3 linked regions of the Callithrix jacchus genome follow. The protein of the gene in region 1 purifies or fractionates together with the protein of each later gene. This does not show direct contact. Links are inferred from orthologs where the notes say so. Each region holds a gene or a part of one and is shown in the gene's direction. Other genes may lie near its edges. The genes, in order: JUN, cyclic AMP-dependent transcription factor ATF-7 and JDP2.

The links.
Region 2: the proteins of JUN (region 1) and cyclic AMP-dependent transcription factor ATF-7 purify together in Homo sapiens (affinity purification with mass spectrometry; 3 studies listed by BioGRID and IntAct, with this or other methods). This does not show direct contact. The link is inferred for Callithrix jacchus from reciprocal best matches to the Homo sapiens genes JUN and ATF7.
Region 3: the proteins of JUN (region 1) and JDP2 purify together in Homo sapiens (co-immunoprecipitation; 3 studies listed by BioGRID and IntAct, with this or other methods). This does not show direct contact. The link is inferred for Callithrix jacchus from reciprocal best matches to the Homo sapiens genes JUN and JDP2.

Annotation. Positions count from the first base shown.
Region 1 is NC_133508.1:95,863,853-95,867,596, reverse strand, and holds the start of JUN (transcription factor Jun), read left to right. Parts: upstream 1-848; 5' UTR 849-1,819; coding exon 1,820-2,824; 3' UTR 2,825-3,744. UniProt on the Homo sapiens protein: Transcription factor that recognizes and binds to the AP-1 consensus motif 5'-TGA[GC]TCA-3'.
Region 2 is NC_133510.1:65,924,903-65,928,646, forward strand, and holds the start of cyclic AMP-dependent transcription factor ATF-7, read left to right. Parts: upstream 1-1,495; 5' UTR 1,496-1,599; intron 1,600-1,887; exon of another isoform or gene 1,888-1,934; intron 1,935-3,744. UniProt on the Homo sapiens protein: Stress-responsive chromatin regulator that plays a role in various biological processes including innate immunological memory, adipocyte differentiation or telomerase regulation.
Region 3 is NC_133509.1:110,344,156-110,347,899, forward strand, and holds the start of JDP2 (jun dimerization protein 2), read left to right. Parts: upstream 1-1,489; 5' UTR 1,490-1,699; intron 1,700-1,999; exon of another isoform or gene 2,000-2,045; intron 2,046-3,744. UniProt on the Homo sapiens protein: Component of the AP-1 transcription factor that represses transactivation mediated by the Jun family of proteins.

The DNA of each region.
Region 1 (3,744 bases):
CGGAGACTCAGCTGAGCGTTCAGTTTCGGGCAATACAAATTTCTCGGCTTCTATGAGCAGCCAGACGACCCCGCGGACCATCGCTCCTGAACTAGACCAAGACAAAGTTCCGAGCGTTCTCAACTTGGGGGGCCGACTCTCGCGAGACCGCCCCCAAACTTAAGCGCCCTTAGGCTCGCCCCCAACTGGGACTTCACAGAGCCACCTTAAGGGCGGTGCTCCCGCCCCCGGAAGTGCGCGGGGGGGGCCACAGACTTGGATTCTCAGCCTCCTGCCCCGCGCGGTGGCAGACGCCGGCGGATGACTTCGAGCCCCACAAGTGGAGAAACCCCAACCACCCCTCGCCCGCACCCTTGGCCCCCAACAACTGGCCGGGTTCCCTGGCCTCCCGCGTCCCCTTATCCCCTGCATCTCTGCATCCCTGTCCGGAGCCGTGAACTTGAGCGCCCCCCCCCACCCCAGAGACGTTGCGAGCGTCCGCCCGCTCGCGGCAGCCACCGTCACTAGACAGTCAAACCCCAAGACGTCAGCCCACAATGCACCGGGCGGGCCAGCAAAAACGGCCGGGGGAGGAGACCAGGGAAGAGAGGGCCGAGAGGCGTGCGGCAGGGGGAGGGGAGGAGAAAGAAGGGACCGACTGTAGGAGGGCAACGGAGCATTACCTCATCCCGTGAGCCTCCGCGGGCCTAGAGAAGAATCTTCTAGGGTGGAGTCTCCATGGCGACGGGCGGGCCCGCCCCCCTGAGAGCGACGCGAGCCAATGGGAAAGCCTTGGGGTGACATCATGGGCTATTTTTAGGGGTTGACTGGTAGCAGATAAGTGTTGAGCTCGGGCTGGATAAGGGCTCAGAGTTGCACTGAGTGTGGCTGAAGCAGCAAGGCGGGAGTGGAGGTGCGCGGTCTCAGGCAGACAGACAGACACAGCCAGACAGCCAGGACTGCAGTAGAGTCCGAGCTGCAAATCTTTTCTTTTCCATCTTCTCTCCAACTGCCCAGAGCTAGCGCCTGTGGCTCCGGGGCTGGTGTTTCGAGGAGTGCGGGGAGAGCCTGGTCTCCAGCCGCCCCCGGGAGAAGAACCCCGCTGCCCAAGCGCTGCTGACAGCGGCGGAGAGCAGCGGTACCCACGCGCCCGCCGGGGGACGTCGGCGAGCGGCTGCAGCGGCAAAGAACTTTCCCGGCTGGGAGGACCCGGGCCAAGTGGCCCAGAGTCCCGGAGCGAACTTTTGCAAGCCTTTCCTGCGCCTTAGGCTGCTCGACGGCGGTAAAGACCAAAAGGCGTTGGAGAGACGCGCGAGAGAAGGACGTGCGCTCAGCTTCGCTCGCACTGGTTGCTGAACTTGGGCGAGCGCAAGCCGCGGCTGCCGGGCGCCCCCTCCCCCTCGCAGCGGAGGAGGGGACAAGTCGTCGGAGTCCGGGCGGCCGAGACCCGCCGCCGGCTGGCCACTGCGGGGTCCGCACTGATCCGCGCCTCTGGGAGAACCGCCGCTCCTGGAAGTGAGTTCGCCCGCGGGCTCCGAGGAACCGCTGCGACCGAAGATCGCTCAGTGAGTGACCGCGACTTTTCAAAGCCGGGCAGCGCGCGCGAGCCAACAAGTAAGAGTGCGGGAGGCATCTTAATTAACCCTGCGCTCCCAGGAGCGAGTTGGTGAGTAGGGCGCAGCGGGGACGACTGCCAGCAGGCGCGCACGCTCTTAGAGAAACTTTCCCCGCCAAAGGCCCGGGGGGACGCGGGTGTACCCCGCTTGCCAGAGCGCTGTTGCGGCCCCGAAACTTCTGCGCGCAGCCCAAACTAACCTCACGTGAAGTGACGGACTGTTCTATGACTGCAAAGATGGAAACGACCTTCTATGACGATGCCCTCAACGCCTCGTTCCTCCAGTCCGAGAGCGGAGCTTATGGCTACAGTAACCCCAAGATCCTGAAACAGAGTATGACCCTGAACCTGGCCGACCCAGTGGGGAGCCTGAAGCCGCACCTTCGCGCCAAGAACTCGGACCTCCTCACCTCGCCCGACGTGGGGCTGCTCAAGCTGGCGTCTCCCGAGCTGGAGCGCCTCATCATCCAGTCCAGCAATGGGCACATTACCACCACGCCGACCCCCACCCAGTTCTTGTGCCCCAAGAACGTGACAGACGAGCAGGAGGGCTTCGCCGAGGGTTTCGTGCGCGCCCTGGCCGAGCTGCACAGCCAGAACACACATCCCAGCGTCACGTCGGCGGCGCAGCCGGTCAGCGGGGCGGGCATGGTGGCTCCCGCGGTGGCCTCGGTGGCGGGGGGCAGTGGCAGCGGCGGCTTCAGCGCCAGCCTGCACAGCGAGCCGCCGGTCTACGCCAACCTCAGCAACTTCAACCCCGGAGCGCTGAGCAGCGGCGGCGGGGCGCCCTCCTACGGCGCGGCCGGCCTGGCCTTTCCCGCGCAACCCCAGCAGCAGCAGCAGCCGCCGCAGCCGCCCCACCACTTGCCCCAGCAGATGCCGGTGCAGCACCCGCGACTGCAGGCCCTGAAGGAGGAGCCTCAGACAGTGCCCGAGATGCCCGGCGAGACGCCGCCCCTGTCCCCCATCGACATGGAGTCCCAGGAGCGGATCAAGGCAGAGAGGAAGCGCATGAGGAACCGCATCGCTGCCTCCAAGTGCCGAAAAAGGAAGCTGGAGAGAATCGCCCGGCTGGAGGAAAAAGTGAAAACCTTGAAAGCTCAGAACTCGGAGCTGGCGTCCACGGCCAACATGCTCAGGGAACAGGTGGCACAGCTTAAACAGAAAGTCATGAACCACGTTAACAGTGGGTGCCAACTCATGCTAACGCAGCAGTTGCAAACGTTTTGAAGAGAGACTGTCGGGGACTGAGGGGCAACGGAGAAAAAAATAACAGAGACAGACTTGAGAACTTGACAAGTTGCAGCGGAGAGGAAAAAGAAGTGTCCGAGAACTAAAGCCAAGGGTATCCAAGTTGGACTGGGTTGCGTCCTGACGGCGCCCCCAGTGTGCACGAGTGGGAAGGACTTGGCGCGCACTCCCTTGGCGTGGAGCCAGGGAGCGGCCGTCTGCGGGCTGCCCGGCTTTGCGGATGGGCTGTCCCCGCGCGAACGGAACGTTAGACTTTTCGTTAACATTGACCAAGAACTGCATGGACCTAACATTCGATCTCATTCAGTATTAAAGGGGGGAGGGGGAGGGGGTTACAAACTGCAATAGAGACTGTAGATTGCTTCTGTAGTACTCCTTAAGAACACAAAGCGTGGGGGGGAGGGTTGGGGAGGGGCGGCTGGAGGGAGGTTTGTGAGAGCGAGGCTGAGCCTGCAGATGAACTCTTTCTGGCCTGCCTTCGTTAACTGTGTATGTACATATATATTTTTTTTAATTTGATGAAAGCTGATTACTGTCAATAAACAGCTTCATGCCTTTGTAAGTTATTTCTTGTTTGTTTGTTTGGGTGTCCTGCCCAGTGTTGTTTGTAAATAAGAGATTTGGAGCACTCTGAGTTTACCATTTGTAATAAAGTATATAATTTTTTTATGTTTTGTTTCTGAAAATTCCAGAAAGGATATTTAAGAAAATGCAATAAACTATTGAAAAGTACTCCCCTAACCTCTTTTCTGCATCATCTATAGATACTAGCTATCTAAGTGGAGTTGAAAGTTAAGAATGTCAATTAAAATCTCTCTCAGTGCTTCTTACTATCAAGCAGTAAAAACTGTTCTCTATTAGACTTTAGAAATAAATGTACCTGATGCTATGGTCAGGTT
Region 2 (3,744 bases), on another chromosome or scaffold:
CAGAAAGTTCAGAAAGTTTAGTAACATAAAGCTGCAAAAGGAGAGAACAGAGAGTTCGTGGATAATATTTTAAGTCTCTTTTCTAAGCTGGTTAGTATATACTTTTTTTTAATTAAAAAAATATTTTAAGTCAACTACAATTTGTTAAATTTTAAGAAATTTATTTATTTATTTATTTATTGAGACAGGTCTCACTCTGTTGCCCAGGCTGGAGTGCAGTGGCCTGATCTGGGCTCACTGCAACCTCAACCTCCTGGGCTCAAGCGTTCCTCTCACTTAGCCCCCAAAATAGCTGGTACTACAAGTACAGGCCATCATGCCTGGCTAATTTTGTATTTTTTGTAGAGCTGATGTTTCGCCATGTTGCCCAGGCTGGTCTCAAATTCCTGGGCTCAGGCAGTCCTCTTGCCTCATCCTGCCACTGTTGGGATTACAGGCATGAGTCACTGCACTCAGCCTGTTTTTTTTTTCTTTTCCTGGTTTGTCTTGAGCAAGACATATACATTTTTGAATACAGACTTTGCATTTGATATTTCCCCCAAAATCTTCCCAAGGCTATCTTGTCATAATTCAACTCCTCGTTTAAGTGTTACTTCCTCAAAGAGGTCGCTCAAACACTATTAAGCTTCTTCCCCACTCCGAGTCACTTTCTGTCTCACCATCCTGAAGCACTTTTCACTATTTAAAACATTTGTGTTTATTGGCTTTTTAACTGTCTCCCCTTCCCCATTCAAATATAAATTCTACCTGGGTTGATAACTCCTTAACTCTAGGCTTAGAACAATGCTTTGCACGTAGTATGCCCTATGTTTTGTGAAAATATTTGCTGAATAATATAGTGATTTAAAAAAAAACCCAAGCAGTTTCATGTATCTCATTTGATCATTTCAACTATTTGAATAAAATGAGGCCGGTCGCGGTGGCTCACGCCTGTAATCCCATCACTTTGGGAGGCCGAGGCGGGCAGATCACGAGGTCAGGAGATCGAGACCATCCTGGCCAACCATCCTGGCCCGTCTCAAATTATTAAAAAATAAATAAATAAATAAAATGCGATTGCTAGTCCCATTGTACAGAGACTCAGAGAAACTTTTCACCCAAGGCAATAGGGCTAGGAAAATGATAGTGTTATAATTGCTCTACAGGTGGATTGCTTTGTCCATACATGGACTTCATTTCTAGGGCTAAGGGTATTTTAAATCACTTTGCCTTTAAGGAAGCGATGACTCTGAAAGATGGTAGTAACCACTACTACAGGCACCTGTAAAGATCCTCTCCTTTTTCCTTTTTTTCCCCCGCTCTACTCTGCAGGCGAACACGTGTGACCTGTGTGTACAGCACTCGCTCAGTCTCCCTCCCTAGCCCTGCCCACAATAAGCCCGGCCCCTTGTTTTCCTGGAGCCCCGCCTCTCGGCCGCTTTCCAACTAAGCCCCCACGGATCTCGCCCTTCCCCCCGGCCGCATGATTTCTCGCGAGAGTTAAGCGCGCCTGACCGGACGGGAGGAAAGTATCCGCTCTGCCGAGGGGGGAAAGAAGGAGCTGGAGATAGATTGTAGGACAGAGTGCGGGCAGGCGGGAGGCAACGGAGCTACCAGCCGGTAAGTACTTTTAACATTAGCTAGTCCATGATCTGACGGGAGTCTCCCTTTCAACTCTGGCCAGTCCCAGCGTTCCAGGCTGGGGTCTCCCCTCCCAGTGTGTGTTGGACGGGGGCGCTGAGGCGGTGGCCGGGCCCTGTCTGAGGAAGAGGGTGGGGCATAGGCCAAAGCTGACCAATGGGGGAGAAGGAAACCTCGATTGGCGGCAATGAGCGCTAATGAGAGATCGCTTTTTCCTTGCCGAGCACCGCCCTCTTCTCTCTCTCTACTCCCGCCTCCTTCCTTGGGGAGGGGGAAGGCGGGGCCAGAGACTTGAAGTGTGGGGAGAACTTGGGGTAAGTAGCCCCGGGGGGCACAGGGCGTGGCAAGGAGAGGGGAATTGAATCCTGAGGGAACGGTAGTCTAGTGGAGCCTAAAGGAGTGATCACAGGATGGGGTGGAATGGTAGAAAGAGGAGGGATACTAAACTAGGTTAAGAACCCAGGGCTTCCCAAAGAGTGGGATTAGGAGCTTGGAATTGGAAAAGGGTAATAGGTAGGAGGTAGGAATGAGGAGATGAGAACAAAGATCTTGGTCTGGTGACACAACACCCGTTGGGTTTGACAGGAAAGATAGATAGGGGTAGATTATTGGAAATGAGGGTCATCGCATTTCGATTGAATTAATAAAAAGAACATCAGGGACGTGATATCAGAGAGAAAGTATGGATTTGGAGAAAGTTAAGTGAATGAGTTTAAGAGGACAGCATGGGTGAGCTGAGTCTCCATAAGGCATGGTTTCTGGAAGTATATGAGCCTTGAGAGCGATGAGAGAGGTGTTTGGGAAGGAGATGACTGGTATACATATGTCTTTTGCTTAGGTATCAGGTGGTTGCGATATTGATTTAGGGCTTCTGATGGATATGGCACCCAGACTGGTGACCAGCCTCCAAGATGCTGGCATGGGGGTTGAGGAGAAAAATAGCCCTTTCATCACTTCTCTGATTTTCTTTCTCCCTCTCTTCCATTTCCCAAACTCTTGAAACACTGGGATGTGGGCTTGGAACTTAAGCAGTCCAAGTTGGAGCCCCATAGGGACTTATATGTTGCTCTGAATTGCTTGTTATGTTCTCTGACTGGGGTGTTTACAACCCAGGGTACCTCCTACCCAGATTCCCGCGTTGCTACTTTCCTAACTTTAAAAGTTTTTTTTTTACTTAAAAGAGGGTATTTTAGTATCTCTGAGGGTCATGTCATATTAAAGTACAGGTGTGTAGGGGGTGTGCAGAGTTTTCTTAGGAAGCTCACACGAGTCCTGTGTTTAAAAATTGTACAGTAATTTAATTCTTGTAGAGATATCGGTCTTTATGGGCATTCTAAGCAGAAATATACCAAAATGAAGTTTGTTTTGTTAATCGTGGCTTCCCTGGTCATTCTCAAAGAGTTGTCAAATGGGTGGTTGCAGTTCGTTTTAGTTAGCTTATATAGTATGTTTTTAAATGGTGTAAATAAAATAGACATGTTATTTCAGGAAAGTGAAAAACGTTCAGTTTTTTTGCTTTGTGTCCACACTCAGAAACTAAAGATCTGCCATAGTATCTTAGGCCAAGGGCTGGGGAAATCAAACACAATTTGTACTTAAACATGGAAGATGTAAGGTAAGTGGAGGCTATTGCGAAATGTTAACATGTCTGTAAGAAAAGAAGCTAAAGAAAAGTTTGGCAGCTCTACTAAGTAGTCTTACCAGTTCTTAATTCTGTACAGAAAAGGGACAGGGCTTTGCCCTTTGTTTGATAGTTGTGTATCATTTAATAATAAATTGGACTAAATATAGCCAATTAATAGCCTCTTTAGTATTGCATAGATTTTGCTTTTACGTTCCTTCTCTTCTCCTTTTACTTTTGAGAAGTGAAATAATGTCTGAAATACCAGTAAAGCTATTATATGAAGAGAAACCACAGTATGTAGTTGTATTAACCTTTGGTTTTCTGCAACCATTTGAAGCTTTTCTCCCTGGCCAAGAAGTTACCCCTATAGCACATTGAGACCAATTCATTGCTGACCCTATAGCATTAACTACTGAGCTGGGTTCTAGAATTTCACAGTAAGAGCATTGCTATTGGACATTCACAACATTTTTCAGTTTGGCTGGCAGCAGCACAAAAAA
Region 3 (3,744 bases), on another chromosome or scaffold:
ACTATCAAATTACTGCTCATTTTCCAATGAATATTCTCTCAGGGCCTTGCTTTCTTCTTACCTGCCCACACCAGTGTTGCCAGGGAGATTGCTGGTGGCGAAGGTGAAAATGGTCAGGCAATGTCATTGGAACTCGGTCTGTCTCTCTCATTCCATTAGCCCAGTTCTTTTATCCAGAAAGATTTCAGTGCACTGGGGAAATAAGGAGAATAAGATCTCAGGCACTCACTCACACGGAAGAGACATGCATGCTTGAGTTTGCTCATTTGCACCCATCTGTCTCCAGTCTTGTTTCCTTCACTCTGAGCATCTGCACTCCAAGAAGGCATGAACTTTTTCTTTCACTTCCTTTCTTCTATGGGTGATGATCTGACATCACTCTGAGGAGGCCGAAAGTCGCTGAGTATAAAAATCGTCAATCCCATCCGGCTTAGGCAGAAGGTAGGGGGCTCGATGGGTACCCAGGAGCTCTGGAGGTAGGAGATGCCTAGGGAACCTGTTCTACCTGAGGGCTCTGTGTCGCTGCCTTTGTATACTGGAAGGCACCATGGATGTCACTTTTCCTCTGGAGTCTCCTTCACCATTTCCTCTCTAGGAGGATGGAAGGTGGGAGTGGGGTTGGCTATGGAGGTTGTAACGGGGAAGAAGGTCACCTGGGGTCTATCGAGGGCTGAGTCTGCTCACTGCTGTGTCCAGAGGGCATAGGAGAAGCCCTCTGGAGTAGGGCAGAAGGGTCCAACTGTGCCACGGGTCTAACTGTGCCAGCCGCAGAGCAAGCCGCGGTCTCAGGCTGCAGCCCTAGCCGAGGGCAGGCTGGTGCAGCGAGCCGCCTGGGGGCCTAAGGGCGCTGGCGGGGGCCGGTGGGTAGGAGTAGGGGTCCCCAAATGCCTTCATCTCAGCCCATCCTTCTCCACCGAAACATAAAGCAGGTTGACGAGATCGCCTCCTCGCCCGCTCAGTCCTGAAGTGTCCAAAGATGAAATTATGCCGAAATTCTCCCTGTCTCTGAGGGGAAGCGCCGGCACTGAGGAACCGGGTCCACAAAGGCTGTGCGTGAAGGGGCTTCTGACTTGTCCCCCGGCCCCGGCGTCGCTTCTCTCTCCCAGGGCTGCGGCTGCTGCCTGGCGGGCGCAAGTCGGGCGGCGGTGCGCTGGGGGTGCGCTTACATAACCGCTCGCCGCGTCCTGCTTTCTCGCGCGCTCCTGCACCGTGGGGTGGCGGAGCCGGGGGACTGGATGGAACCCGGGCCGCCCCCGCGGGGAGAGGAGCGCGAGCGGCCGCGGGAGGAGGGCGCCCGAGGCGGCAGGGGAGGTTAAGGTCAGTGGGTGTGAAGCGCCGGCTCCACACCCCCTCCCCCCCGGTCCCCTCCTTCCCTTCCTCTCCGTCCCCCTCTGACGTCTGGAGCTGGCAGCTCGGCCGGTTCCGCATTCCCGACCCCTCCCCGCCGCCCAGGGGCCGCTATATAGCCGGGGCTGATGCAACCCGTCCCGCCGCCCGCCACAGCCTGCGGGAGGGACGCTCGGCGGCCGCGACGGGGGGCGCTGGCGGCAGGGCTGGCGCCGCGGCGGCTCCCGGGCCGGGACGGGCCTGGGCACCGGGCGGAGCTCCGCGGCCGGGCGGCAGCGGCGCGGAGCGGGCACGGCGCCTGCAGCCGGGCCCCGGCCCCGGGGGCGCCGCCTCCGCCGGCAGCTTCTGCACGGTGGGTGCGAGGGCGCGCGCTGGGGGCTCCGGGCGGGGCGGGGCGGGGCGCGGGCACCTGGGACAGCCGCCCCCGCGCGGGCGGAGTGCGAGGAGGAGCCCCAGCCCAGCCCCGCCGGGAGGGTCCCGCAGCCCTAGGACCCCGAGCTTTCTCCGCGCGGGGCGCTGCAGCCGGGCCCCTCCCACGAGGCTCCGGGTAGCCGGAGGCTTCCTTTTGGTTCCCGCCCCAGGACGGGAGGCTCTGTCCGCTCCCTGGGCAGCCGGGCGCTCCCTCCTTCTCCCTCCCGCGCTCTCCTCCCCCGTCCGTTTGCAAGGAGGTGCTCTCCTCGGGCGGCGGGGAAGGTGGGGTGAGTGGGGAGAAAACTGCCCGCGGAGATGGGCCGTGCGGGTGGAGATGGAGGGTGAAGGGCCAGGGAGGTGCGGGGTTGGGGTGGGGGTTCGATTGTGGAGGGATGACTAGGACCTGCTGGCAGGGAGGAAGCGCGACCCCCGGAGGACCTGGTCCCGGAGGCGGGTATTGAGAAGGGCTTGGGATTTCCATGCAATGAAGGCAGCTTCTCCCATGGCCATTGCTCTGGGGCTCTGGGCTGGGAGGGGATCTAGGGGTGACTAGGGTCCCCTTTGGGCTCTCCTGTCTTCCACGCCAGGTTATATAAAGAGGCAAGCAGGCTCCTGTAGGTAACCAGCCTCTCCCTTGTCCAGCCCAGCTTAGAAGGCTCTCCTCTGCTCCTCCCCTCAAAGGAGGTTGTCGGGAGGTAGGGGGACAGTGGAGGCTGGGGGGAAGGTGTGGGGGTGGGCTTTCTTCCTGGACCCCTGGACCCTGGGGTGGCAGAGCCAGGCTTTGCCTGGGTCACTGGGAGGAGCAGGGAAGATGGGGAGGTTGGGGAAGATGGGAGGTCCTGGCTCTTTTGCATGGATGGAGAGGCTGGTGGAAGGAGACATCAACCGACCCCTTAGGTCATCTCCAGTTGCAAGATTGCTTGGCCTTTGCCCAGGGTGCTGCCCTCCCTATTGGCATCTAGGGCATGGGGCTATGGCCTGACCACATGTGCTCAGGGCAAATGTGCTCAGGCCTGTATCTCAGAAAGGGCTTGCAGCCTGCTTAGGTGTGTGTATCCAGGCTTAAATTTTGGTGAACTCTCCCCAGGGTCTTAATTTGAGGAGCATCAGGAACTGGGAAGTTTGAACCATGTTTGGGTACCTTTGTGCCCAATTGTCCTTTAAGTCCTTGCTAGGAACTGCATTCACATATCTCCCTTCCCCCAACCTCCCTTCCCTGAGGGTTTTAAAAAAACACTTCCCATTGCTTTTACCTCTCCAGCAAATCTGGCTGCAGCTTGGATGGATGGCTTATCTTCCTTTGCAGGTTTCTAGGGGAGCGTTTAACCAGGTATCAGGTGTGAGTGTGGCTCTGATTTTATATAAACCTGAGGATCGAGGAAGAGAAACAAAATCTATTCTCATGCCTCTGGGTGGTTAAGGTTTTGCCTTGTTGAGAGCAGGGAGGATGGATTTCTCAAAGACTCTTCTGTTCCCTACTACTTTGGCTTTGGTTCAGAGCTGCAGGCAGCTCCAGAATCTTCCTGAAGAGCTGGGTGCTGTGTGATTTGAAGGGCTGCAGGAAATCCTGGGTGTGTAGCCCTCAGGCTTTTCTCCTAGGTTGGCTGCAGCCACCTCCAAGGAGATGTGTTGCAAAGTGATGACAGTGCCCCCCAAGTGTTTGGATAAGGGTCTCCCCACTCACCTACTTCTAACTACTGCCTAACTTCTGCAGCTACTAGGGAATGCTCCTCACGACTCCCTGGGTCTGTTGTCTTCTCCCTACCTGTTTGCAGGGTGTATGGGCATCTTTTCCAACCTGCAGAATCCTTGGCAGAAATAGGCTCTCTGGGCCTCTGGTGTTGCAATGGGCTGTCTCTCTCCAGTGTCTGTTTCCAGCTCCACTCTGGAAAGAAAGGGGCCAACGCCGACTCTAGGCCGGCCTGCTCTGTATTCATTCAGCCCCAACTCAACTTGAGCAATCAGAGCCAGGGCTGAGGGCAAGCT